4 linked regions of the Anolis sagrei genome follow. The protein of the gene in region 3 interacts with the protein of the main gene of each other region in a pairwise test. Links are inferred from orthologs where the notes say so. Each region holds a gene or a part of one and is shown on either strand. Other genes may lie near its edges. The genes, in order: CEP76, TOX4, BANP and PPIF.

Region 1 (7,696 bases), on a different chromosome or scaffold from region 3:
AAAACCTTCTTCTTTTTCTTTCTTTCTGATTACAAATTAACCTCGACAGTCTGAACAAACTCATGATGTTGTTACTGGTTAGATAATGCAGATTGTGTATCCATTATCCAAAATGCTTGGGACAAGAAATATTTCTGGTTTTTAAAATTTTGGAATACCTGTAAAAAAGGTAAAGGTAAAGGTTTTCCCCTAATATTAAGTCCAGTCGTGTCCGACTCTGGGGAGTGGTGCTCATCTCTATTTTTAAGCCGAAGAGCCAGCGTTGTCCGTAGACACCTCCAAGGTCATGTGGCTGGCATGACTGTATAGCACGCCGTTACTTTCCTGCCAGAGCGGTACCTATTGATCTACTCACATTTGCATGTTTTCGAACTGCTAGGTTGGCAGAAGCTGGGGCTGACAGCGGAAGCTTACACCACCCCCCGGATTCGAACCTGCAACCTTTAGGTCAGCAGCTCAGCACTTTAACCCACTGCGCCACCGGGGGCTCGAATAAGGGATACTTAAGCTGTATTTTATTGAGACTTCATGGAATATCCAATTAAGACCATTTGAATATCTGTACTATACAGGGAATATCTGTACTATACAGGGAGAAAAGCATGTTTATACACTTCCCATTTTAATGTATGATTCTCGGTATTAATAGTATAAGCAATTATGTACTATCCCTTTGGAAGAATTGTGTGCTAATATATACAATCTGAATGAGAAATGTTGCTGAAAACTGTAATATCCACATCAATTAGTGCTGGAAAGCAGGGATAATTCACTTCAGATACTATTTCTCATATACTATTTCTATACAGCAAGGAGTTAAAATGCTCAAATTCATTCTAAAAAGAAGGGTGTTTCTCTGGAGAAGACACAACAAGCCCAAGTTAGCACCCAACATTACATTCAATGTACTTACCTTCAGCATTTATACACAGCTCTGTTGCATTCTCTTCTGTTGTTGCATATGGATTATTTCCAATCATTGGCACAAGACAATCAGTATAAAAGTACCCAACTTTAGACATGTCAAGGGTGGAAATAACTAGATCTACAGCCAGCTGGCCAACATTCCCCACCGATACCGCGGGCTGAAATGACATAACAGATGCATGCGAGTTACATCATCTGAAAAAAATGACTGATTTTCAAATTTAAAAAAACATGTTAGTTGAACACTGAACATTATTAACCATTTCTATTGAGTCCCCTTGGGGAGATAGGGCAGGTTATTATTATTAGCAGTAGTGGTATTAACACATTTCAGCTGTCAAACCACAATACTATAGTAAAGTAATGCCAAAGTAATTTATAGCAAAATGTACACATTCAGATTATTATTATTACTATGTTTATTTACACCTCACAAAGAAGACTCAAAGCAGTTTGTATTAGTATATTTTATAATGTTTTGGAGAAAAAAGTAATGTGGCTGCTATTTACCAATTTTAAAAATGGTATCTGCTTGTTCAGATAATTGTCCTTTTAATCGAACTGAGGCGAAAGGGTATCAAATCCTTTTTAACACAAAGAGACAGGATTCTTCAGCAATTATTATATACATAGTTTTGCTAGCAATCTTACACATAGGTTGTGGTGAGCTTTTCAGGTTGTATTACCATGTTCCAGAAGCATTCTCCCCTGACATTTTGCCCACATCTATGGCAGGTGTCCTCAGAGGTTGTGAGGTCTGTTGGAAATTAGGACAGTGGGGTTTATATATCTGTGGAATGTCCATGGTTGGAGAAAGAACTCTTCTCTGTTTGAGGAAAGTGTGAATGTTGCAACTGGAAGCTTGATTATCATTTAATGGCCTTGTAGCGTCAAAGCCTGGCTGCTAGCTGCCTGAGGGAATCCTTTGTTGGGAGGTGTTAGCTGGCTGATTGTTTCCTGTCTAGAATTCCCTTGTTTGAGTGTTCCTCTTTATTTACTGTCCTGATTTTAGAGTTCTTTTAAAAAAATACTGGTAGCCAGATTTTGTTCATTTTCATGGTTTCGTCCTTTCTGTTGAAATTGTCCACATGCTTTTGGATTTCAATGGTTTCGCTGTGTAGTCTGACATGGTAGTTGTTAGAGTGGTCCAGCATTTCTGTGTTCTCAAATGATATTCTGTGTCCAGGTTGGTTCATCAGGTGCTCTGCTATGGCTGACTTCTCTGGTTGAATTCGTCTACAGTGCCTTTCATGTTCCTTTATTCGTGTTTGGGCAATGGTGCATTTGGTGGTCCCTATGTAGACTTGTCCACAGCTGCATAGTAGACTCCTGCAGAGGTGAGAGGATCCCTTTTGTCCATATGTATTCTTGACATACATCAAGGGAACCACTGACCGCATAGGAACCCTGATAAAGAAAACCTACAAACTGGGTTGTTGTAAGTTTTTCGGGCTGTATGGCCATGTTCCATAAGCATTCTCTCCTGATGTTTCTCCTGAAACTTACAGACAACTCCACTCCTGTATGCTTGTCCACTATGCCCTGCCTCATGTACAGAGGAAGAATTGTTGGAGGCTACAGACAATGCCATTGCTGTTGCCTGTTTTTGGTCAAAAGATGTTTAGCTGCCTGTGCTCCTTCTATTTTTATCAGTTTTACACTAATTTATGCAATGCTTTTGATATGAAATAAATAAATCCTGAAACTTGAAACTTCTAGGCCATTAAATGCTAATCAAGGTGGCCAATTGAAAATTCACACCTACCTCCAACAGACAAGAGCTCTTTCTCCCACCCTGGACCTTCCACAGATACTTTTAAAAAAATGCGTGCCATTCAGTCGGTTGAAGACGTAGCGGAGCGCTAGTGGTCTCGTTTGAGAGGCGGGAGTATAAAGTTTTGTCCTGACACAGTTCAGTCGCCATCATGCGTTGGAGCAGTGAGGAATGTGCTTTTGCCATTGAGGCCTACTTTTCGAGCGGATTTGGAGTGGCCGGCCCGTTCTCCAGATTTGGCCCCTTGTGATTTTTTTCTATGGGTTTTTTTGAAATCCCGTGTTTATGTGAACCATCCAAGGACCCTACAAGATTTGGTTTACTCGGTGTATGGAGAATGGAGGACGTCACCTACCTAATTTGATCTTCAAAACTATGTAAAACAAAACTTTAGGTATTCGCCTACATTATATATTTTAAAAATTCCGATTCATACAATGGGTTTTATTAAGTTTTGAAAAAAGAAAGTTATGCTGCCTCACCCTACAAGAGTTCTTTCTCCCAACCCTGGACATTTCACAGATATATAAACCCAATTTTCCTAGTTTCCAACAAACCTCACAACCTCTGAGGATACCTGCCATAGATGTGGGCGAAACGTCAGGAGACAATGCTTCTGGAACATGGCCATACAGCCTGAAAATTTTATTTATTTATTTATTTATTTATTTAAAAGTTTTGTATACCGACCTTCTCACCTCTCTTGAGGGAATCAGGCCGGTTTCCGACCATAATATCACATACAGTCAATAAAACATCATAATTCGTATTACAGTAAAACATTAAAACAGCAATTACATTCAATAACTACAATGGTCAGTCGTCACACTAAAATCGTTGTTCATCATCCTCCATCCATATCTCAGGGTATTGGCTCACTAGTCGAATGCCTGTCTCCATAACCACGTCTTCACCTGTTTCCTAAATGTCAGGATAGAAGGGGCGGTTCTGATCTCCAGTGTGAGAGAGTTCCAGAGTTGAGGGGCCACCACCGAGAAGGCCCTGTCCCTCGTCCCCACCAGATGCGCTTGCGAGGCCGGTGGGACGGAGAGCAGGGCCTCTTCAGACGATCTTAATAATCTTGATGATTCATAGGGGAGAATACGTTCGGAGAGGTAAACAGGGCCGGAGTCGTTTAGGGCTTTATAGCCCTAAACAAACAACAACCCAGTGATTCCGGCCATGAAAGCCTTCGAAGATATACCTACAAACTATCTATAGACCTCGCAAGAAAACCCCGCAAATGCTACATTCAGCAAAAGACAAGAGGTATCCTCTCAGTGGTTCTCAACCTGTGGGTCCCTAGATGTTTTTGGCCTACAACTCCCAGAAATCCCAGCCAGTTTACCAGCTGTTAGGATTTCTGGGAATTGTAGGCCAAAAACATCTGGGGACCCCAGGTTGAGAACCAGTCTAACCACTGCAGGAGTCTCACCAAAATTATAGCTCCCATCATCCCATAGCACTGAGCCATGGTGTCAAACTGCATTAAATTCTACAGTCATCCCATAGCAATGTCAAACTGCTTTAAATTCTACAGTGTAGATGCGCCCTTAAAGGGGCACACACACACTCCCTCCCTCCATATTTTAGGTAGAGACCCCTCCTACTGCCTCCCTCCTCCTCCTCCTCCTCCTCCCACGCCTGACTCAATGCCACGCGCCCGCTCGCGCGTTGCCCGGGCAACGGGGGGTTGGGCGCTCTCTCCGGCCGTCTCGCGCCGCGCAAGGAAGGAACTGTCCATTACCATTAGCAGCGTGCAGCCTTTGAAGTCAGCGGGCGCGCGGCCCTCGCAGGGAACGAACATTCTATCCAAGACGCTGACTGGACGCACCGCAGGCCTACACAAGAGTTCCCTTTGGTAGCGAGAGCAAGGGGCCTTTCTTGTTCACCGCCTCGGAGAGGTGTCTTGCACAGTGCCTGTCCCCATCTGCGCTTACTGACAGCCAGTTAACGGGCGAGCGACAGTTCCTTTGAAGGAAAATTACATTTTTGTTGTTGTTGTTGTTGTTGTTCTGCCGTACGGGTATTAATTGCCTAACAAGACTCGATTGCCTTGCTATCAGGCAATTGTGATAGACACCTTTTATTTTTTGAAAGGCGGTTGAGGCCCGAGCAAGCGCATGGCTAGCTGTGGGAGGGGCCGAGTTTGCTGATTGGCTGGAGATCCAGCCAATGGGTGCTCTTGGGAGGGGGGAGACGGGATAGGCGGTTTGAGCGCGCGGGAGAACGGAGGAGTGTGGTGTTGTGGTTGGAGGTGCCTGGGATGAAGGCCTGTCTGGTGTCCACTTAGTCTAAGGAATTGGGACAGTTGCTGAGCCATGGCCTTGGCTCCCGGGAAAGCCTCAGAGCTCAAGCAGATCATTCACCAGCAGCTGACCAAGGTGAGAAGGAGGAGGAGGAAGAGAAAATGCCCATTGAAAGCCTTTATAGCAGGCTTGGGCCAACTTGGGCCCTCCAGGTGTTTTGGACTTCAACTCCCAGAATTCCTAACAGCCTCAGGCCCTTTCCTCCCCCCCCCCCCTCAGCCGCTTAAGCTGAGGCTGTTAGGAATTCTGAGAGTTGAAGTCCAAAACACCTGGAGGGCCCAAGTTGGCCCATGCTTGCACCATAGGAAGTCCACAGTTTGGGGATGGCTGCTACAGATGGTTGAATCAATGGATGCAGAGGCTGGGTGTATATACGAGGGGTATTTTAAAAGTAAGGTCCGTTTTGTTGTAGATACTAGTAGTTCGCGCTCATACCGCAATGAGCACGTGCATGCCTCGGGAACAACTGTGCTCAGCCGTATGTGATACGGTTTTTGTCAGCAAGGAACCTGAACGGTCCTCATCATGGACGTTGTCACGGCCATCTTTGAATTGTCGTACCCACTTACGCACTTTGCTTTCACTCATAACAGTATCACCGTACACTTCACAAATCTGTCGATGGATTTCTGCAACAGGCAGGTTCCTTGCTGGCAAAAACCGTATCACTGAGCGAACCTCACATGCGGAGGGTGAGTTGATAGTCTTAAACATTTTTAAAGCACAGAACAGAACCGTACAGGTTAGCTACAGAGCGGAAACTGAGCACAGTTGTTCCTGAGGCATGCCGGTACACAACGCACGCGCTAGTTGCGGTATGCGCGCAAACTACTAGTGTCTACAATAAAACGGATCTTACTTAAAAAAATACCCCTCGTAATAACAGTGGAATTAAAAAATAAGCAAATAAGCAAAAGTGGGAATCCCACTGAACTATGGCTTATGAGCAGGAATAATCGAACCTGATACTCTCCATCTTTGGTTTAAATCTGAAATTGGCTTGGTCTGAAATAGTCAACTATACACCAAGGCTGGTTTGCCTGCCTTCGTTTATTCAGTTGGACCTTCATACCCACATATTCTGCATTCTTCGATTCCCAACATCCATGGCTTAAAAACACTCCCCCCGCCTCCAAAAAAATCCAAACCGCCGACCTTGATTTTGTCATTTTGTATAAGGAACACCACTTTATTATGCCACTGTATATCATGGGACTTGAGCATCCATGACTTTTGGTATCCGCAGGAGGACCTGGAACCAAACCCCAGCAGATACCAAGGGCCCACTGTACTTATTTATTTATTTACAACATTTATATGCTGCCCTTCTCACCCCAAAGGGGACTCAGAGCGGCTTACAGGATATACATACGTCCAATATATTATATTATTAGCATAGTACAATATCAATATTAACTATTACTATATTGTACTATACCATTGTATTGTAATGTTATTAATAATATTACATGTAATATAAACATATACCTATATTATTATTAGTATTATTATTTCTTCATAGATGGATGTCCACAGCAGGGTCCGAGAAGTCCTTGCTGAGACTATTCGTGAAGAACTGGCACCTGAACACCAGCAACTCTCAGAACAACATCTAATGAAAGCCCTGATACGGAGAGGAATCATTAATGATGTTATGAAAGAACTCAGCTTTGTAACTGTGAGTAGTTTGAAGAAAACATCTGAAATGGTACCAGATATTGATTACATAATACAGATAAGGTAAAGGTCTAGTCATGTTCGACTCGGGAGGGTTGGTACTCATCTCCTTTTCTAAACCGAAGAGCTGATGTCTGTAGACACCTCCAAGGTCATGTGGCCAGCATGACTGCTTGGAGCACCGTTACCTTCCAACTGGAGCGGTATCTATTGATCTACTCACATTTGCATGTTTTCGAACTGCTAGATTGGCAGAAGCTGGGGGTAATAGCAGAAGCTCACTCCATTCCCTGGATTTGAACCACCAACTTTTCAGTCAGCAAGTTCAGCAGCTCAGTGGTTTAACCCACTGCACCACCGGGCTCTCGTGTATAATACAGATAACCTGGTACAAAAATATTTATGATTGGATTCATTGTGGAGCAGTGTTAATTTTAATAGATCAAAACTGCGTAGGTAAATTTCTTTGTTGTCATCTGCTGGAAGTTAGGGTGAGCTGGATCTATCTGCTCCAGTCAATTGCCTTCACTTCTGAATCTTCCTCCATCCTCTAACTCACCCATACACTCAAGGGATATGTTGCTGCATGAGGGACGAACCTGAAATAGAATTAGGTTATAAGAAGAAAGCACTTATTTGACATCAGAAGTCACTCAATTCAAAGACAATCGCACATGCAATACTTAAAATCATGTCTGGTGACGGAAACATATACGGTCATTTTAAGTTTGACAGAAAAGGGAACATCACTTTGTGAGTTATCTTCCTATCCTATCTAGGGATATTGCAGCTCTGGATGCAGGTTAAACCCCTTGCTGGCTAACCATTTTATGTAAGGTGTTTTTAAAAAATGGAATTAATTTGAAATTGCTATATTTCTGCAACCACAAAATGCCCATAAATTCTATCTTGAGTTTCAAATTATTACTGCTAGATGCCTCTCTTAGCACACACACAAAAGAATCAGTCATTTGCAAGATGACAGTACTGCAACATAAGGCTTAATGAG
Region 2 (7,424 bases), on a different chromosome or scaffold from region 3:
GCTAAGCATGTTTAACTTGGGAGGAAAGAAGGCCAAGAGGAAACACGACAGCCATGTTTAAACATCTGAAAGTAGGTCACCTTGAAAAGAGGTGACATCTCCCCTCTCCTCAGGGCAGGTTTGTTTTCTGCTGGTCTATAAACTAGGACACAATGGAGCAATGGCTTCAAATTACAGGAAAAGAGATCCCACCTAAACCTTAGGAAGAACTTCCTGGCAGGAAGAGCTGTTTGGCAGTGGAATATCCTGCTGCCTGAGAGTGTGGTGGAGTCACCTTCTCTGGAGGTAGATGGCCATTTGTCAAGAGGGCTTTGATGGTGTTTCCCACCTGGCAGAATAGGTGTAGACTGGGTGACCCTTGGGGTCTCTTTACATTCTGATTCTGTTAACTGCTCATATATTACATTTTGGGTTTGATTAATTGTGAACAGTGCGATTTCTTTTTGTGCTTTTGAACAGATGTTTGAATGTTTCTTATGAGTGAAAAGGTGCTTTGAACAGAAAACTTCAACCTCTTTCTTATTATTTCCTCTCTGATATATGGAAGTAAAAAGTTTACTGCAGGCCTGCACAACCAAGAGGAGATTCCATCTGAACATGAGGAAGAACTTCCTGACTGTGAGAGCCGTTCAGCAGTGGAACTCTCTGCCTTGGAGTGTGGTGGAGGCTCCTTCTTTGGAAGTTTTTAAACAGAGGCTGGATGGCCATCTGTCAGGGGTGATTTGAATGCAATATTCCTGCTTCTTGGCAGAATGGGGTTGGACTGGATGGCCCATGAGGTCTCTTCCAACTCTTTGATTCTATGATTCTAGGGCTCTTCAGGCATTTGGGACTCCACCTCTTAGAAGCCCAGAGTGTCCAATGATCAGGAATTCTGGGAGGTGAAGTGCACATTTATACATATCCTGGTCTACATACTGGAATCATACAGTCCTGTTGGTTGTCGAAAGTCAATTCATATTTAAATGCTTTTTAGCTGCTAGTTTAATTATGTGAAGATGGGTTTCTGTGTTTTCTGGGCTGTACTATGGCCATGTTCCAGAAGCATTCTCTCCTGATGTTTCACCCACATCTATGGAAGGCATCCTCAGAGGTTCTGAGGTCTGCTGGAAACTCAACAACCTCTGAGGATGCCTGCCATAGATGTGAGCGAAATGTCAGGAAAGAATGCTTCTGGAATATGGCCATAGAGCCAGGAAAACTCACAGCAACCCAGTGATTCCAGCCATGAAAGCCTTCGACATATGTGGTAAATGTTTATGAGGTATCATATTTAGTTTATTTAAGTCATTTAATTTTGATAATGTTTGTTCGTTTGGATTAGCTATTATAAGTTTTATATTGCGATTCTTTTGTTTATCTGTTTGTGTGTTGTTGAAAAAGATCTTGGAGTCCTCATGGACAGCAAGTTAAACATGAGCCAACAACGTCATGCGGCGGCAAAAAAAGCCAATGAGATTTTGGCCTGCATCAATAGGAGCATAGTGACTAGATCCAGGGAAGTCATGCTACCCCTCTATTCTGCCTTGGTTAGACCACATCTCAAATACTGTGTCTAATTCTGGGCACCACAATTGAAGAGAGATATTGACAAGCTGGAATGTGTCCAGAGAAGGGCGACTAAAATGATCAAGGGTCTGGAGAACAAGCCCTATGAGGAGTGGCTTAAAGAGCTAGGCATGTTTTAGCCTGAAGAAGAGAAGACTGAGAGGAGATAGCCATGTATAAATATGTGAGGGGAAGTCATAGGGAGGAGGGAGAAAGCTTTTTTTCTGCTGCCCTGAAGACTAGGACGTGGAGCAATGGCTTCAAACTACAGGAAACTAACTGTGAGAGCTGTTCAGCAGTGGAAATCTCTACCCCAAAGTGTGGTGGAAGCTCCATCTTTGGAGGATTTTAAACAGAGGCTGGATGGGTTGGGAGTGCTTTGAACGTGACTGTCCTGCTTTTTGGCAAGGGGCTGGACTGGATGTCCCAGGAGGTCTCTTCCAACTCTGTGATTCTGATTCTCTGTTGGCACTGAACGTTTGCCTCTTTTATTAGAAACCACCCTGAGTCCCCCAGGAGAGATAAGGCGGGTGATAAATCAAGTATTATTTCTACTGAAGTCCAAAACAGCCGAAAGGCCACAGGCTATGCAGGCCTGGTTTACTGTAACTAAATATCAGAAAATAAAAAAGTTGAAGCAGTGTGTGTGTGTGTGTGGGGGGGGGGGGGGGAGATATGAACTTTGTGATGAAGCATTTAAAAAAAAAACTTGCGAAGGCCAAATCCTTCTAAAACAGGCATGGGTCAACTTGGGCCCTGTGATATTATGATAGCTGGGTCTGGAAGCTCTGAGCTCCTGCAAAGGCAGCTGTGAATAAGGGAAGAGAGGGGGCAGAGTGAGAGCGGGGAGAGCAAAGGAAGGATGGAAAGGAGGGGACGTTTAGTGTAAGGGTTAGGGAAAGATTTAGGGTTTGGGTTACGGTTAGGGTAAGGTTTAGGGTTAGGGTAAGGGTTTGAGTAAGGGGTTAGGCTTAGGCTTATGGTATGGTTAGGGTTTCACCATTAAAGAACTGGTGATAGTATGATAGCTGGGTCTGGAAGCTCCAAGCGTTATGGAGATGCTGCAAAGAGGGCTGTGAATAAGGGAAGAGAGGAGGCGGAGTGAGAGCGGGGAATGCAAAGTAAGGATAGAAAGGAGGGGATGCTTAGTGTAAGGGTTAGGGCAAGATTTAGGGTTATGATTAGGGTACGGTTTAGGGTTTGGGTTAGGTTTAGGCTATGGTAAGGCTTTGGGTAAGGGATTAGGCTTAGGCTTACCATACGGTTCAGGGTTAGGGTTTCACCATTAAAGAACAGGTGATGGTATGATAGCTGGGTCCGGAAGCTCCGAGCGTTACGGAGATGCAGCAAAGGCGATTGTGAATAAGGGAAGGGGGGGGGGGGGTGGAGAGAGAATGCTGCAATGCTGGTTTGGGATTATGATTAGGGTACGGTTTTGTGTTTGGTTTCATGTTAGGGTAAGGTTTAGGCTAAGGAAAGGGTTTGGATAAGGGATTAGGTTTACTGTATGGTTCTGGGTTAGGGTTTCACCATTAAAGAACTGGTGGTAGTATGATAGCTGGGTCCGGAAGCACCGAGCGTTACGGAGATGTCGCAAAGGTGGTTGTGAATAAAGGAAGGGGGGTGGGGAGAGCGAAGGAAGGATAGAAAGAAGGGGACGCTTAGGGTAATGGTTTGGGTTAGTTAGGGTATGGTTTAGGGATTGGGTTTTCGTAAGGTCAGGCTTAGGGTAAGGGGTTAGGCTTAGGGTACAGGTTAGGGTAAAGTTTAGGGTTTGGGTAAGGGGTTAGGCTTAGGGTACAGGTTAGGGTAAAGTTTAGGGTTTAGGTAAGGGGTTAGGCTTAGGGTACAGGTTAGGGTAAAGTTTAGAGTTAGGCTTAGGGTACAGGTTAGGGTAAGGTGTTAGGCTCAGGATACAGGTTAAGGTTTGGGTAACAGGTTAGGCTTACTGTATGGTTCAGAGTAAGGGTTTCACCATTAAAGAACTCTTACATCCCTTCTATATTTGTCTCCGGCATGGCTTACATTAGGTAAGTCTCTCTTGTGCAAACAGCACTCCCGATACGTAATGCTCGGAGCTTCCGGACCCAGCTATCATACTATTACCTTGGGCCCTTGGGGTGTTTTGGACTTCAACTCCCACCATTCCTAACAGCCTCGGGCCCTTTCCTTTCCCCCCTCAGCCGCTTAAGCAGGCCCTCCGCCCCTCCCATACCCGAGTCCCCGATGACGATGTATTTGAACAGGTAGGCGTAGGCCATGGCTGCCGGGAGCCCCTGAGAACGAGGCGGGAGGGGGCCTCCACGGGCCGCTTTCGCTCACGCCACGGGAACTCTGCCTACTCCTCTCGCGCTTCCTATTTCAAAGCCGTGGCTCTGACCCGCCCTCTTCCTTCCCGGCGCTTGGCTTCTTCCCTTTCCGGTGCCTTCTCCTTCATGACGGCAGCCCCTGGTGGACTTCCGGCGGCACTCTAGGGCATCTCTTCTGGGCCGCCTCTATTCCTCCTTGTGTTGACTCCGCCCACTCCTTTGGTCTTCTTCGGACTGGCTGCTCTATTGCGTCACATCCGGGGGGAGAGGGGAAAGGGAACGCCGAGCTCCAGCCTCGAAGCCGTTACTTAGACTCTTTGACGTCACATCCGGGAAATGCCGAAAGCGCTCTCCTGCCTGAGAATGGCAGCGCGCGCGGCCCTCCGGCCTCCCTTTCTCCCTCAGTCGCCTTAACGGTCCGAACGAGTGAGGAAGGCAGAGCGAGGCCGCGACTCCCGCAGGGAAACACGGCCTCCCTCCTCTCACCGCAGGGAAGGAAGAGTTAAGGCCGCCACAGGAAAGGGCCGTGTGCAAAACGTCGGGCGGAAGTGACGTTCCCTGCCGGCCTTCGTTTGGGTGGGCGGAAGAGGCGGAAGAGGCTTCCGTTTCCGGGAGAGGCACTGGAGGGGGAGGAGGAGGGGGAGAGAGAGTCGAGCGGGGTCTCCCCGCTCTCCCTGCTCTGGAGCTTCCTTCGCCGCGGCCATGGAGGTGAGGGGGCCTCGGGGAAGGGGAGAGGGCCTCCCAGGGGCCGTTTGAGTGTCTGTCTCGTTACTGCCTCCACCTATGCACTCCTATGGACTCCTCTTCCTTGAAACCAGCATGGGTGGAAGCCCCACGCATTCATCCATTCATTCAGACAGGGCGAATCCAGTGAGGACGAATACAGGTTGACTATCCCTTGTCTGAAATGTATTTGGAATTTACTTCTAGTCCCTAACATTTCAGACAAGGGATAGTCAACCTTTATTCCTCCCCACTGGATTCGCCCTGTCTGAATGAATGCATGGGACCAGAAGTATTTGGAATTTCATAGATCGATAAATCGTAAATATGCATACATACATATCTTACGGACTTGGGAATTCATAAGGCTTTCCCCCGACATGTAAGGGATCAGGATTCCTCAGTTCATCTTGATTACTTTTCATCTTTAGGTTATTGTGGGTTTTTCCGGGCTATATGGCCATGTTCTAGAGGCATTTTCTCCTGATGTTTCGCCTGCGTCTATGGCAAGCATCCTCAGAGATAGTGAGGTCTGTTGGAATTAGGAAAATGGGTTAATATATCTGTGGAATGACTGGGGTGGGGCAAAGAGCTCTTCTCTGCTGGAATCAAGGAACATGGAAGGCACTGCAGACTATTTCAACCAGAGAAATCAGCCATAGCAGAGCACCTGATGAACCAGCCTGGACACAGCATATTATTTGAGAACACAGAAATGCTGGACCACTCCAACAACCACCATGTCAGACTACACAGAGAAGCCATTGAAATCTACAAGGATGTATTTGGAATTTACTTCTGGTCCCTAACATTTCAGACAAGGGATGTTGTTGTTCATTCGTTCAGTCGTCTCCGACTCTTCGTGACCTCCTGGACCAGCCCACGCCAGAGCTCCCTGTCGGCTGTCACCACCCCCAGCTCCTTCAAGGTCAGTCCAGTCACTTCAAGGATGCCATCCATCCATCTTGCCCTTGGTTGGCCCCTCTTCCTTTTGCCTTCCACTTTCCCCAGCATAATTGTCTTCTCTAGGCTTTGCTGTCTCCTCATGATGTGGCCAAAGTACTTCAACTTTGTCTCTAGTATCCTTTCCTCCAATGAGCAGTCGGGCTTTATTTCCTGGAGGATGGACTGGTTGGATCTTCTCGCAGTCCAAGGCACTCTCAGAACTTTCCTCCAGCACCACAGCTCTAAAGCATCTATCTTCCTTCGCTCAGCCTTCCCTAAGGTCCAGCTCTCACATCCGTAGGTTTCTACAGGGAATACCATGGCTTTGACTAGGCGGATCTTTGTTGCCAGTGTGATGTCTCTACTCTTTACTATTTTATCGAGACTGGACATTGCTCTCCTCCCAAGAAGTAAGCGTCTTCTGATTTCCTGGCCACAGTCTGCATCTGCAGTAATATTTGCACCTAGAAATACAAAGTCTGTCACGGCCTCCACATTTTCTCCCTCTATTTTCCAGTTGTCAATCATTCTTGCTGCCATAATCTTGGTTTTTTTGATGTTTAGCTGCAACCCAGCTTTTGCACTTTCTTCTTTCACCTTGATTAGAAGGCTCCTCAGCTCCTCCTCGCTTTTGGCCATCAGAGTGGTGTCATCTGCATATCTGAGGTTGTTAATGTTTCTTCCAGCAATTTTCACCCCAGCTTTGCATTCATCAAGCCCCGCACATCCTCGCATGATGTGTTCTGCATACAAGTTCAATAGGTTGGGTGAGAGTATGCAGCCTTGCCGTACGCCTTTCCCAATCTTGAACCAGTCTGTTGTTCCGTGGTCAGTTCTTACTGTTGCTACTTGGTCCTTGTACAGATTCCTCAGGAGAGAGACAAGGTGGCTTGGGATGCCCATCCCACCAAGAGCTTGCCACAATTTATTATGATCCACACAGTCAAAGGCCTTGACAAGGGATAGTCAACCTTTATTCCTCCCCACTGGATTCGCCCTGTCTGAATGAATGCATGGGACCAGAAGTATTTGGAATTTCATAGATCGATAAATCGTAAATATGCATACATACATATCTTATGGACTTGGGAATTCATAAGGTAAAGGTTTTCCCCTGCCATGTAGGGATCCGAGTTCCTCACTTCATCTTGATTACTTCTCATCTTCCTTGGAAACAGGTTCATATGGTAAAGGTAAAGGTTTCCCTTGACATTTAAGTCTAGTCGTGTCCGACTCTTGGTTGTTGGTGCTCATCTCCAATTTTTAGCCGAACAGCTGGTGTTGTCCGTAGACACCTCCAAGGTCATGTGGCCAGCATGACTGCATGGATCGCCGTTACTTCACTTCTTTGCTTCACTTCATTTTATTTCTTAATTAGTCGCTCTCCACCAAGGTGCTCCAAGCGACTTACAATTTAAAATAGCATTTCACAATATAAAACATTCAACATAAAAACCTTTAGCAGTGACTATTTGGCAAATTTGATCTGATTACTTAAATGCACAACCAAACAGCCAAGTCTTGGGTGCTTTTACAAAAGGTCCCAACTCCGACATTGCTCTAACATATGGAGGCAATGAGTTCCACAACATTGGAGAATAGATTGAAAAAGCTCTACCTTTCCGCAAGAGCGGTACTAATTGATCTACTCATATTTGCATGGTTTTGATCTGCTGGGTTGGCAGAAGCTGGGCCTAACAGCGGGAACTCTTGCCACTCCCCAGATTTAAACCTGCAACCTTTTGGTAAGCAAGTTCAGCAGCTCAGCGGTTTAACCCACTGTGCCACCTGGGGAATTTATATCTATACATAATAAGGTACTTTGGAGAACCAGAACACAGAACACAAAATCCAATGGGGCTCAGTACAGATAGAGCATGCACAGGCAAATTTCACCAC
Region 3 (7,214 bases):
ACTCTGAAATTGCATTATATGGTCAACGTAAAGCCATACAGTGAAGGTTCTTGTGGGTTTTTTCGGGCTATAGGGCCATGTTTTAGTGGCATTTCTCCTGACGTTTCGCCTGCATCTATGGCAAGCATCCTCAGAGGTTGTGAGGATGCTTGCCATAGATGCAGGCGAAACGTCAGGAGAAATGCCTCTAGAACATGGCCCTTAGCCCAAAAAAACCCACAAGAACCTAGTGATTCCAGCCATGAAAGGCTTCGACAATCCATACAGTGAAGTTTGGAATGCCATGATATGATCAACACAAATCCATACAATATAGTTTGAATTGCATTATATGTGCCTATACTGGTCATATACTGCCATTTAAAATTGCATTATATGACAGTGTGGATGGGACTCCGGTTCCGTCCTGCAGTTTGAATCCACTTGAACCACGAGGGCTCAATGCTATGGGATCCTGAGATTTGTAGTTTGGCAAGGTCTTCAGTCTTCCCTGCCAAAGAGGGCTGGCTGGTGCCTGACCTAACTACAACTCCCAGAATTCTAGATCACCGAGCCAGGGCAGTGCAGATGTTCTTCTTTAAAAGTGGTCTTATCTAAATACTAAGTATATTTAGTTTTTTGATTTATAAAGTACCATGAACTTTGATGGCTGCATATAAATGAACAAGGAAGAAAAACGATGTTTACTATGGTGCGTTTTATTTTGATTCAAGAAAAAATATCCCATCATAACACAGCATTGACAGAAGAAACAAACATGTTATTTATTTATTTTATTTATTTATCGTGTCAGTATCAACCAGACAATTGTATTACATTTTAAACAAATTTTTAACAAACAGACAAAACAGAGTTTGCAAGCTTGGTAGTTGATTAAATGTCCTTTGACCAGTATCTGGCCGCTTGGAGTGCCTCTGGTGTTGCCGCAAGGAGGTCCTCCATTGTGCATGTGGCAGGGCTCAGGTTGCATTGCAGCAGGTAGTCAGTGGTTTGCTCTTCTCCACACTCGCATGTCGTGGATTCCACTTTGTGGCCCCATTTCTTGAGGTTGGCTTTGCATCTCGTGGTGCCAGAGCGCAGTCTGTTCAGCGCCTTCCAAGTCGCCCAGTTTTCTGTCTGCCCAGGAGGGAGTCTCTCATTTGGTATCAGCCAAATGAGAGCCCTCACAATTGAGGTTCTGGGTTTGAGCCTGCCACTTTTGGACTCTTGCTTGCTGGGGTGTTCCAGCGAGTGTCTATGTAGATCTTAGAAAACTATTTTTCTAAGGGGGACATGAAAGAAGCCTCCTTGCAGGATTGCAAGACATCTGGGCATCCCCTGGGCAAAATCTTCGTAGACAACTGATTCTGTCACTCCAGAAGCAACCAGAAGCGACTTGCAGCATGCAAACAAACATGTGCGTGTGTGTGTGTCTATATATATATATATATATAATATAATATAATATAATATAAAACATATTATTTATATATATTATAATATATATTATATGATATGATACATTTTTAAATAAAATAATTTAAATATAGTATAATATATTATTTTATATATATACCTATGGGCCCTCGGTGGTGCAGTGGGTTAAAGCACTGAGCTGCTGAGCTTGTTGACCGAAAGGTCGCAGGTTTGATTCCGGGGAGCGGCGTGAGCTTCCACTGTCAGCCCTTGCTTCTGCCAACCTAGCACTTTCAAAACATGCAAATGTGAGTAGATCAATAGGTACTGCTCCGGCGGGAAGGTAATGGTGCTCCGTGCAATCATGCTGGCCACATGACCTTGGAGGTGTCTATGGACAACAGATCTTCGGTTTAGTAATGGAGATGAGCACCACACCCCAGAATCAGACATGACTGGACTTAATGTTAGGGGACAACCTTTACCTTTATATATACCTTTATAACATAACATATATTATACTTTATATATTGTATATATAATATAGATTACAATATACATTATATTATAATATATGATAAATTTTAAAATAACTTAATTTATATATAGTATAATATATTATTGAATATAATACCTATATAACATAATATATATTATATTTTATATAAATAATCTATATATAATATAGATTATAACATGTTGTTGTTGTTGTTCATTCGTTCAGTCGTCTCCGACTCTTCGTGACCTCATGGACCAGCCCACGCCAGAGCTCCCTGTCGGCCGTCACCACCCCCAGCTCCCTCAAGGTCAGTCCGGTCACTTCAAGGATGCCATCCATCCATCTTGCCCTTGGTCGGCCCCTCTTCCTTTTGCCTTCCACTTTCCCCAGCATAATTGTCTTCTCTAGGCTTTCCTGTCTCCTCATGATGTGGCCAAAGTATTTCAATTTTGTCTCTAGTATCTTTCCCTCCAGTGAGCAGTCAGGCTTTATTTCCTGGAGGATGGACTGGTTGGATCTTCTCGCAGTCCAAGGCACTCTCAGAACTTTCCTCCAACACCACAGCTCAAAAGCATCGATCTTCCTTCGCTCAGCCTTCCCTAAGGTCCAGCTCTCACATCCGTAGGTTACTACAGGGAAGACCATGGCTTTGACTAGGCGGATCTTTGTTGCCAGTCTGATGTCTCTACTCTTTACTATTTTGTCGAGACTGGACATTGCTCTCCTCCCAAGAAGTAAGCGTCTTCTGATTTCCTGGCCACAGTCTGCATCTGCAGTAATCTTTGCACCTAGAAATACAAAGTCTGTCACGGCCTCCACGGTTTCTCCCTCTATTTCCCAGTTGTCAATCATTCTTGTTGCCATAATCTTGGTTTTTTTGACGTTTAGCTGCAATCCGGCTTTTGCGCTTTTTTCTTTCACCTTGATTAGAAGGCTCCTCAGCTCCTCCTCGCTTTCGGCCATCAGAGTGGTGTCATCTGCATATCTGAGGTTGTTAATGTTTCTTCCAGCAATTTTCACCCCAGCTTTGGATTCCTCAAGCTCCGCACATTCTCGCATGATGTGTTCTGCATACAAGTTAAAAAGGTTGGGTGAGAGTATGCAGCCTTGCCGTACGCCTTTCCCAATCTTGAACCAGTCTGTTGTTCCGTGGTCAGTTCTGACTGTTGCTACTTGGTCCTTGTACGGATTCCTCAGGAGAGAGACAAGGTGGCTTGGTATGCCTATCCCACTAAGAACTTGCCACAATTTATTATGATCCACACAGTCAAAGGCTTTAGAGTAGTCAATGAAGCAGAAGTAGATGTTTTTCTGAAACTCCTTGCCTTTCTCCATTCTCCAGCGGATATTGGCAATCTGGTCTCTCGTTCCTCTGCCTTTTCTAAACCCAGCTTGAACATCTGGCATTATGTATATATATGTTATAATATTATATATATACACACACACTCTCTCTATATATTATATGTATGTATAATATGTATATATATATAGATTATAACATACATTATGTGTATATATATAATATATATATATATACACACACTCTATATATATTATAATATGTATTTATAATATTATATATATAAATTATAACATACATTATGTATATATGTATGTAAATATATACACACCCTCTCTCTATATATTATATGTATGTATGTGTGTATATATATAGATTATAACATACATTACGTATATATATATGTATGTATAATATATACACACACTCTCTCTATATATTATAATATGTATTTATAATATTATATATATATAGATTATAACATACATTATGTATATATATATTATAATATGTATGTATAATACACACTCTCTCTATATATATATTATAATTTGTATGTATAATATATACACACTCTCTCTATATATTATAATATGTATGTATAATATATATATATAGATTATAACATACATTGTGTATATATATTATAATATGTATGTATAATATTATATTTACATATATATATGTGTGTGTGTGTGTATGTGTGTGTGTGTACTGTATTTGCTGTATCTGGAGGAACACTTGCAGTTGCAATGTCAAGATGCAAGCCTGAGCCACTCTTTGGGTTTAAGGACTTCAATTCCCAGCGCGCACTGCGCCCTCCCTCTCTCGCCCTACAACCCCCAGAAGGCGCGAAGAAGCAACCCTTCGCGCAAAGCTCTCTGGGAGCCGTAGTCCGGCGGCCGGCATACCACTGGGACTGCGAGTGGTGGGAGGCTTCCACTGCGCCTGCGCCAGGAGAAGCCCAGCGGAGGGAGGCAGAGCGAGCGCGCGCGCCCTTTGCCTGTGCGCCTGCGCAGTCGCTTTCTCCTTGGAGGATCTCTCGCGAGGAAGGACGCCATTATCGCACAGAGCCACCCGATTTCCCAAACACCACGAGAATTCGGCCAGGCAAACGGTAACCTCGCTTCTTCCTGCGGCGGGCGGCTGAGGATGGAGCTGCCGGGTCGGGGCCTCCTCCTCTGGCGGGGTTTCTCCTCACGGCGCCGGAACCGCCGCAAAGGCCCGGTTTTCTCCCTCAGAAAGACTAGGCCGAAAAGAGAGGGGGGGGGGAGCGGGTGGGCGGGGCTTATGAGGGGGCGTGGCTTGGCTCCAATGGCCCCGCCCCCTTAGGGCTGGGGTTGGGGTGATGGACTTCTACAAAGTGGAATGAAAGCCTCGAGCCTTTCCCATTCAAGTTGTAGTTCAAACTGGGTTAACTTTTCGGTGTAGATTCTTTCTGGCGGACGACATTAGTCAAAGCATTGTATAAAATTACCTTCTATTTATTATTTACTTATTTATTTATTTACAACATTTATATGCCATCCTTCACACCCCAAAGGGGACTCAGAGCGGCTTACAAGATATATTATTTATTTAAAACTTTTATATCCCAATCTTTCCTACATCAGACCGGCTATATATATGCATACAATATATTACAGTGGTTCTCAACCTGGGGGTCGGGACCCCTGGCGGGGGGGGGGGTCGCAAGGGGGTTTCAGAGGGGTCGCCAAAGACCATCAGCATTTTCTGTTGGTCATGGGGGTTCTGTGTGGGAAGTTTCACCCAATTCTATCATTGGTGTGGTTCATAATTCTCTGATTGTAGGTGAACTATGAATCCCAGCAACTACAACTCGCAAATGTCAACGTCTATTTTCCCCAAACTCCACCAGTGTTCATATTTGGGCATATTCGGTATTCATGTTTTGTCCAGATCAATCCATGTTTGAGCTTCAAACTACAAGAGAGGAGATTCCATCTGAACATGAGGAAGAACTTCCTGACTGTGAGAGCCGTTCAGCAGTGGAACTCTCTGCCCCGGAGTGTGGTGGAGGCTCCTTCTTTGGAAGCTTTTAAACAGAGGCTGGATGGCCATCTGTCAGGGGTAATTTGAATGCAATATTCCTGCTTCTTGGCGGGGGGTTGGACTGGATGGCCCATGAGATCTCTTCCAACTCTTTGATTCTATGATTCTATGAGTCCACAGAGGACTCTGGATGTAGGTGAACTACACCTCCAAAACTCAAGGTCAATGCCCACGAAACCCTTCCAGTATTTTCTCTTGGTCATGGGAGTTATATGTGCCAAGTTTGTTTCAATTCCATTGTTGGTGGAGTTCATAAAGCTCTTTGATTGTAGGTGAACTATAAATCCTAGCAACTACAACTCCCAAATGACAAAATCAATCCCCCCAACCCCACCAGTATTCAAATTTGCTCCAGTGAATGAAAATACATCCTGCATATCATATATTTACATAATAGCAGTAGCAAAGTTGCAGATATGAAGTAGCAATAACAATTTTATGCTTGGGGGTCACCACAACATGAGAAACTGTATTAAGGGGTCATGACATTAAGAAGGTTGAAAACCACTGATATATTATATTGTTAGCATAGTACAATATCAGTATTATATATTACTATATTGTACTATACCATTATATTGTAATATTATTAGTAATATTACATGTAATATAAAATATATAATTATATTATATTATTAGTAGTATTATATTGTATTGCATTATAATATTGTAAATATTATATGTATATACAATATAGTATATTATATTACTAGCATAACACAGGAGACAAGATGGAACTGTCCCCTGGCCTTCCCTCTCTTCACTCTGGCCCAGAGCGGCAGTTGGTGGTAATATATCTCAATATATTTTGGACTTCAGCTCCCAGAAGCGCCTACCAACATCACCAATAGTTAACATTTCTTGCAATTGAAGTCCAAAAACATCTGGAGGATAAAGGTCGAGAATATTTCAGACTTCCTGTCCAAACTTTGTTCAAATCACATGTCTGGGTCTTAATGTTAAATGACAACCCATGCAAAACGAGATCTTGTCTTATTTGTGAGTTAAAAGTTGTGATCCAAAGAAAAATCATGAGAATCCTGGATAGAGAAGAAGATAATTCAGGTTAAGGAGGATTGGACTCCTTGTCTTTAAGGTTGTGATTTGTGTGAGAATCCTGCACAAAGAGCAGTTGGGAACAGCTTAGCAGATGGGTCAAAGTGCTTCAGTTTGGGATGAAATCCAATTCTATCACTATAATAATAATAATAATAATAATAATAACAAGCACACACACATATATATAATGCTATAATATATATTTATATAATATGAAACACTATAACGTGTGTCGCAGTGGGTTAAAGCACTGAGCTGCTGAACTTGTTGATCGAAAGGTCGCAGGTTCGATTCTGGGGAGCGGCGTGAGCTTCCGCTGTCAGCCCTAGCTTCTGCCAACCTAGCAGTTCGAAAACATGCAAATGTGAGTAGATCAATAGGTACCGCTCCGGCAGGAAGGTAACAGTGCTTCATGCAGTCATGCCGGCCACATGACCTTGGAGGTGTCTACGGACAGCGCTGGCTCTTCGGTTTAGAAATGGAGATGAGCACCACACATGATTGGACTTAATGTCAGGGGACTACCTTTACCTTTACCTATATTATATATATATATAATATAAAACACTATAACATATATATGTTATAAAACAATTCCTGTGTTACATAGTGATATATGTTTTATATCTTATAAAACAATTCCTATGTTACATAGTGTTTTTTACACACACATAATATCTTATAAAGCAATTCCAGTTACATAGTGATTTATATATATTATATAAAAGCTATTATATATATATAAAATGTATATAAATACTTTCTCCCTCCATCTTCCCTTCCCTTCCACGCTTTCGTTCTTCCTTCCTTCCCTCTTCCCTCTCTTTCTCCTTCCTTCCTTCTTTCCTTCCTTCCTTCCTTCTGTCCCTTTTGTCTTCCCTCCCT
Region 4 (6,843 bases), on a different chromosome or scaffold from region 3:
CTTCCTTTTTCCTTCCATTTTCCCCAGCATAATTGTCTTCTCTAAGCTTTCCTTTCTTCTCATGATGTGGCCAAAGTACTTCATCTTTGCCTCTACTATGCGTCCCTCCAGTGAGCAGTTGGGCTTTATTTCCTGAAGTATGGACTGGCTGGATCTTCTCACGGTCCAAGCAGGATATACTTTAGTTTAAATACTGTGGTAAAGCTTCTACTTACTCTGCTTATACACATTTACCAACCCTCACAAGTACCACTTGTCCATGGGTTCAGAGGAGGCCAGAGGGAAAGGAGATCCAAGCAGCAGGCACTGAGGCGACCAAGGGGGCTCTTCACATCTTTCTGAGAGGCAACATAGAATCATAGAGTTGGAAGAGACCTCATGGGCCATCCAGTCCAACGCCCTGCCAAGAAGCAGGAATATTGCAATCAAAGCACCCGGCAGATGGCCATCCAGCCTCTGTTTGAAAGCTTCCAAATAAGGAGCCTCCACCACACTCCAGAGCAGAGAGTTCCACTGCTGAACGGCTCTCACAGTCAGGAAGGTCTTCCTCATGTTCAGGTGGAATCTCCTTTCTTGTAGTTTGAAGCCATTGTTCCATGTCCTAGCCTCCAAGGAAGCAGAAAACAAGCTTGCTCCCTCCTCCTTGTAACTTCCTCTCACATATTTATACATGGCTATCATGTCTCCTATCAGCCTTCTCTTCTTCAGGCTAAACATGCCCAGCTCTTTTAGCCACTCGTCATAGGGCTTGTTCTCCAGACCCTTGATCATTTTAGTCGCCCTCCTCTGCACACATTCCAGCTTGTCAACATCTCTCTTCAATTGTGGTGCCACAATATTCCAGGTGTGGTCTAAACAAGCCGGAATAGAGCGGTAGCATGACTTCCCTGGATCTAGACACTATGCTCCTATTTATGCAGGCCAAAATCCCATTGGCTTTTTCCCCCCGCCCCATGACATTATTGGCTCATGTTTAACTTGTTGTCCACGAGGACTCCAAGATCTTTTTCACATTTACTGCTCTCAAGCCAGGCGTCCCCCATTCTGTATCTTTGCATTTCGTTTTTTCTGCCTAAGTGGAGTATCTTGCATTTGTCCCTGTTGAATTTCATTTTGTTAGTTTTGGCCCATCTCTCAATCTGTCAAGATTGTTTTGAATTCTGCTCCTGTCCTCTGGAGTATTGGTGTTGTCTGCAAACTTAATGATCATGCCTTCTAACCCTTCATCTGGGGATCACAACCAGACACAGTGAAGACATCTGCCCTTGCACTATGCTACTCTGCTGATGAGTATGCATGCCCAGTGTGGAACACATCTCACCACACTAAAACAGTAGATGTGGCTCTTAATGAGACATGCCGCATTATCATGGGGTGTCTGCGCCCTACACCACTGGAGAAATTACACTGCTTAGCTGGGGGAAGTAGCAGCCAATAGTGAAAGGACCAAGGAAGAGACATCTCCAGCTCATCCCCTGTTTGGGTATCAACCAGCACGTCAATGACTTAAATCTAGAAATAGTTTTCTAAAATCTACAGAGACACTCGCTGGAACACCTCAGCAAGCGAGAGTCCAAAAGTGACAGGCTCAAACCCAGGACCTCAACCAATGGCTGATACCAAATGAGAGACTCCCCCCTGGGCACACAGAAGACTGGGAGACTTCGAAGGCGCTGAACAGACTGCGCTCTGGCACCACGAGATACAGAGCCAACCTCAAGAAATGGGGCCACAAAGTGGAATCCACGACATGCGAGTGTGGAGAAGAGCAAACCACAGACCATCTACTGCAATGCACCCTGAGCCCTGCCACATGCACAATGGAGGACCTTCTTGCAGTAACACCAGAAGCACTCCAAGTGGCCAGCTACTGGTCAAAGGATATTTAATCAACTACCAAGCTCACACATTTTGTATTTGTCTGTTTGTTTGTTTTGTTCTGTTAGAAATGTAATACAATTGACTGGTTGCCCTGACACGACAAATAAAAATACCCTCCATCTAAGTCAGTGGTTCTCAACCTGGGGGTTGTGACCCCCAGGGTGGTCATCTGGCCATTTCGGAGGGGTCGCGAGTCCGCCTCCGTTGGCCCCACCCCATTCGGCGTGGACGCGAGGCGGGCAAGGGGTCCTCAGCACGAGGCCTGGCCTCGCGCAAAGCCCCCTCGCCCGCCTCGAGCTTTCACCAACGTCGGAACCCCTGAGCGGATCGCAAGGGGGGTGTCAGATGAGTCACCAAAGACCATCTGAAAACACGGTATTTTCTGTTGACCATGGGGCTTCTGTGTGGTAAGTTTGGCTCAATTCTATCATTGGTGAATTCAGAATACTCTGACTGCAGGTGAACTGTAAATCCCAGCAACTATAGCTCCCAAATGTCAAGGTCTATTTTCACCAAACTACACCACTGTTCACGTTTGGCCATATTGAGCATTCATGCCAAGTTTGGTCCAGATCGATCAGTTCGAGTCCACAGTGCTCCTCTGGATGTAGGTGAACTACAACTCCAAAACGCAATGCCCATCAAATCATTCCAGTATTTTCTATTAGTAATGAGAGTTCTGTATGCCAAGTTTAGTTCAATTTCATCATTAGTGGAGTTCAGAATGCTCTTTGAGTGTAGGTGAACTATAAATCCCATCAACTACAACTCCCAAATGACAAAATCTCTCCCCCCCCCCCCCACCCTACCAGTATTCAAATTTGGGCCTATCGGGCATTTGTGCCCAATTTGGTTCAATGAATGAAAATACAACCTGCATATCAGATATTGACATTACGATTCATAACAGGAGCAACATTACAATTATGAAGTAGCAATGAAAATAATATTATGGTTGGGGGTCACCACAACAAGAGGAACTGTATTAAGGGGTCACAGCATTAGGAAGGTTGAGAACCACTGATCTAAGTCACTAATAAAGATGTTGAACAGGACTGACCCCACTGCCCTGAACTCCCCAGAGGAGGAAGCAGGGTCTCTCTGCTTCTCAGCAGAGTAAACAAGTAAGTACCTTGTCGATGGCTTTCATGGCTGGAATCACTGGGTTGTTGTAGGTTTTTTTCGGGCTATATGGCCATGTTCTAGAGCAGGGGTCCACAAACTTTTTAAAGAGAGGGCCAGGTCATAGTTCCTCAAACTGTTGGAGGGCCGGATTATAATTTGGAAAAAAAAAATGAATTCCTATGCAAACTGCACACATCTTATTTGTAGTGCAAAAAACACTTCAGAACAATACAATACAATAAAAAAGAACAATTTTAAGAAATATAAACCATTGTATTTCATTGGGAAGTGTGGGCCTGCTTTTGGTTGATGAGATAGGATTGTTGTTGTTGTTGTGTGCTTTCAAGTCATTTCAGACTTAGGTTGACCCTGAGCGAGGGCTGAGTAAATGACCTTGGAGGGCCATATCCGGCTCCCGGGCCGTAGTTTGAGGACCCCTGTTCTAGAGGCATTCTCTCCTGACGTTTTGCCTGCACGTATGGCAAGCATCCTCAGAGGTTGTGAGGTGAGGTCACAACCTCTGAAGATGCTTGCCATAGATGCAGGCGAAACGTCAGGAGAGAATGCCTCTAGAACATGGCCATATAGCTCGAAAAAACCTACAACAACCCAACTACCTTCATCACAACTGGGGCCTTCTCCTCCCAGAAGAAAGCCGACTCAGTGCGTTATCACAGTAGAGCTGAGTGGGGATTGTAGTTGAGTGAGACCCAGACCCTTAGAGAGGCCCCTCGCAGGAGATGCCTGTGGGGAAGGCCCTCTCGCGCGCCGTCCAAACGCCCGCCTCGTGACGTCACGGCCACGCGCCGTCGCCGAAGGGAGGCGGGGAGGAGGGCTTATAAAAGAGGCCTGAAGCGCGAGGCCGGCTTTCTCAGCGCGCTTGAGAGAGGGACGCGGGAAAGGACGCTTCCTCTCAGGTCTCTCTGTCTTCTGCCCGCCGCCATGCTGGCCCTGCGCTCCGCCCGCAGTCGCCTCCTCCTCCTCCCGCTGCTCCGCTCCGCCACCCGGGAGTGCAGCGACAGCAGCAGCAGCAGCCGCCGCGGCGAGGACGACGACGACAACCCCCTGGTCTTCCTGGACGTGGGTGCCGACAACCAGCCCCTGGGCCGCGTCGTCTTCGAGGTGCGCGCGCCTTCTCTTTGCCTCTCCTCAGGTGCATCTACACCAGGTATGAGCAAGCTTGGGCCTTCCAGGTGGTTTGGACTTCAACTCCCACAATTCCTAACAGCCGGTAGGCTGTTAGGAATTGTGGGAGTTGAAGTCCAAAACACCTGGAGGGCCCAAGCTTGCCCATACCCTGGTCCACACTATGGAATGACTTGCTTTGCCCTGGCCTTATGCTGTGCTATCCTGGGAGTAGTTGCTAGGTCTCCAGCCTTCTCTGCCCCAGAGGGCTAGCCCCTCAATGAAATACAACTCCACACAGAGCCATGGCAACTCAAGTGGTGTCAAAACCGCATTGATTCCACAGGGTATTCGCACCCTCCCTCCTCTCCAGGCGCCTTTCCTCTGGGCGTCCTCTCTCTTCAAGGTGCCCTTCAAAGGTGCCATTGGAAACCATAACAATGTTCTGAATCAGGGATTTATTGAACTTTATTTATTTACAATATAACTAGCCGCCCCCTGCCACGCATTGCTGTGGCCCAGTCTGGTGATCTTGAAAATAAAGTAATAAGAAGTTGTTGGTTTCTAATATATGTAATTTCTTTATACTTGTGGGTAAACAATGTTTCTTGTTTCTTTGTCAGTGTTGATGCAGAGGTTGTCTGGTTTGCCTACTTTGGAACATGCAACATATATTTGCCCTTTCAAATCTCTAGTACTATATCTGTCATATACATATATATGTATGTGTGTGAATCTCATATATATGTGTGTGTGTGTGTGTGTGTGTGTGTATGGCTGGGTGACTTTGTGTCAGGAGGGCTTTGATTATATTTTCTTGCTCTGGTGAAGGGAGTTGGAGTGGATGGTCTTAAGGCAGCATTTCCCAACCTGGGGGTCGTGAGGGGGTGTCAGAAGGGTTACTAAAGACCCCCAGAAACTATAAATCCCAGTCAAGGTCTATTTCTGCCTAAACACCCATCTGTGTTCATATTTGGACATATGGAGTATTCATGCCAAGTTTGGTCTAGATTTTTCAGTTGTTTGAGTCCACAGTGCCCTCTGCATGTAGGTGAACTACAACTCCAAAACTCAAGATCAATGCCCACCAAACCCTTCTAACGTTTTCTGTTGGTCATGGGTGTTCTGTGTGCCAAGTTTGGTTCGATTCCATCGTTGGTGGAGTTCACAATGCTCTTTCATTGCAGGGAACTATAAATCCCAGCAACTACAACTCCAAAATGACAAAATCGATTTTTTGAGTGATGGTAACTCCTTGGGTTAATAGGTGTCTTATGGTCAAATTTGGCAGCAATTCGTCCAGTGGATATTGAGTTACTATGTCACTCAAAACGAACAGAGCATTTATATATATATATATATATATATATATATATATATATATATACTAGCTGTCCCCTGCCACGTGTTGCTGTGGCCCAGTCTGTTGATCTGGAAAATAATGAGAAAGTGTTGGTTTCTAATATATGTTATTACTTTATGCTTGTGGGTAAACAGTATTTCTTGCTGTTTCTTTGTCGGTTTTGATGTGGAGAGTGTCTGGTTTGTCCACCCTGGAACATGCAACATATCATTGTCCTTCTTTAAGGGTCCCTTTCAAATCTATGATACTATATCTGTGAGTGTGTGAATTATATCTATCTATATCTATGGCTGGATGGCTCTTTGTCAGGAGGACTTTGATTATGTGTTCTTGCCCTGGTGAAGGGAGTTGGATTGGATGGCCTTAAGTATTTTCTGTTTGTCATGGGGTTTCTGTGTGGGAAGTTTGCCCCAATTCTGTCGTTCATAGGGTTCAGAATGCTCTTTGATTATAAGTGAACTGTGAATCCCAGTGACTACAACTCCCAAATGTCAAGGTCTATTTCCCCCAAACTCCATCTGTGTTCATATTTGGATGTATTGAGTGCTTGTGCCAAGTTTGGTCCAGATCCATCATTGTTTGAGTCCACAGTGCTCTCTGAATGTAGGTGAAGTACAACTTCCAAACTCAAGGTCAATGCCCACCAAACCCTTCCAGTATTTTCTGTTGGTCATGGGAGTTCTGTTTGCCAAGTTTGGTTCAATTCCATTGTTGAAGGAGTTCAGAATGCTCTTTGATTGTAGGTGAACTATAAATCCCAGCAAGTACAACTCCCAAATGACAAAATCATGATTTTTTGAGTGATGGTCACTCCTTGTGTTGTGGGACGTTTTGTTGCCAAATTTGGTGTGATTTCATTCATTGGTTCTTTTGTTTTTAAGGTACTCATTATTCACAGATATAGATATAATAATAATAAAACTTTATTTTTAACTTGCCCTCTCTCCCCAAAGGGACTCAGGGTGGCTTCCATAAACAAAAATGGCAAACATTAAATGCTGCGTACAACAATAAAATGAAAACATTTAAACATAGAATCGAATCAAAAAGCCTTTGGCTATAAAAACATAAATCAGTCAGTCTGGCAACATACATAATACAATTAAAGAGTTAAAATCTGTCTAAAGATATAAAAATATAGCTCTTTGGTAAATTAAAATAGTCAGTCAGTTTTGTCCCCACCAGTTGTTCCCACCAGCCGTGCTTGAGACCGGGGTGGGACTGAGAGGAGGACCCCCTCCGCTGATCACAGAATCCAAACAGATTTGTAGGTGGGGATGCCGGTTGTCAAATACTCTGGGCCCAAATGGTTTATGAAATTTATAGCCTCTCTTTCCATAGTCAAGGGC

Evidence for each region.
Region 1: the proteins of BANP (region 3) and CEP76 interact in binary tests that used the Homo sapiens proteins (3 or more experiments, as listed by UniProt). The two-hybrid records come from large-scale screens. The link is inferred for Anolis sagrei from reciprocal best matches to the Homo sapiens genes BANP and CEP76.
Region 2: the proteins of BANP (region 3) and TOX4 interact in binary tests that used the Homo sapiens proteins (3 or more experiments, as listed by UniProt). The two-hybrid records come from large-scale screens. The link is inferred for Anolis sagrei from reciprocal best matches to the Homo sapiens genes BANP and TOX4.
Region 4: the proteins of BANP (region 3) and PPIF interact in binary tests that used the Homo sapiens proteins (3 or more experiments, as listed by UniProt). The two-hybrid records come from large-scale screens. The link is inferred for Anolis sagrei from reciprocal best matches to the Homo sapiens genes BANP and PPIF.

The regions. Positions count from the first base shown.
Region 1 is NC_090024.1:66,286,368-66,294,063, reverse strand, and holds the start of CEP76 (centrosomal protein of 76 kDa), read left to right. Parts: upstream 1-4,673; 5' UTR 4,674-5,022; coding exon 5,023-5,085; intron 5,086-6,532; coding exon 6,533-6,688; intron 6,689-7,696. Other genes in the region: PSMG2 (proteasome assembly chaperone 2), read right to left, coding at 914-1,085, 4,449-4,508. UniProt on the Homo sapiens protein: Centrosomal protein involved in regulation of centriole duplication. Required to limit centriole duplication to once per cell cycle by preventing centriole reduplication.
Region 2 is NC_090026.1:10,955,379-10,962,802, reverse strand, and holds the start of TOX4 (TOX high mobility group box family member 4), read left to right. Parts: upstream 1-4,414; 5' UTR 4,415-4,559; coding exon 4,560-4,565; intron 4,566-7,424. Other genes in the region: RAB2B (ras-related protein Rab-2B), read right to left, coding at 3,764-3,809. UniProt on the Homo sapiens protein: Transcription factor that modulates cell fate reprogramming from the somatic state to the pluripotent and neuronal fate. In liver, controls the expression of hormone-regulated gluconeogenic genes such as G6PC1 and PCK1.
Region 3 is NC_090028.1:25,809,848-25,817,061, forward strand, and holds the start of BANP (protein BANP), read left to right. Parts: upstream 1-4,195; 5' UTR 4,196-4,314; intron 4,315-7,214. UniProt on the Homo sapiens protein: Controls V(D)J recombination during T-cell development by repressing T-cell receptor (TCR) beta enhancer function. Binds to scaffold/matrix attachment region beta (S/MARbeta), an ATC-rich DNA sequence located upstream of the TCR beta enhancer.
Region 4 is NC_090023.1:153,128,682-153,135,524, forward strand, and holds the start of PPIF (peptidyl-prolyl cis-trans isomerase F, mitochondrial), read left to right. Parts: upstream 1-3,825; 5' UTR 3,826-3,948; coding exon 3,949-4,128; intron 4,129-6,843. UniProt on the Homo sapiens protein: PPIase that catalyzes the cis-trans isomerization of proline imidic peptide bonds in oligopeptides and may therefore assist protein folding. Involved in regulation of the mitochondrial permeability transition pore (mPTP).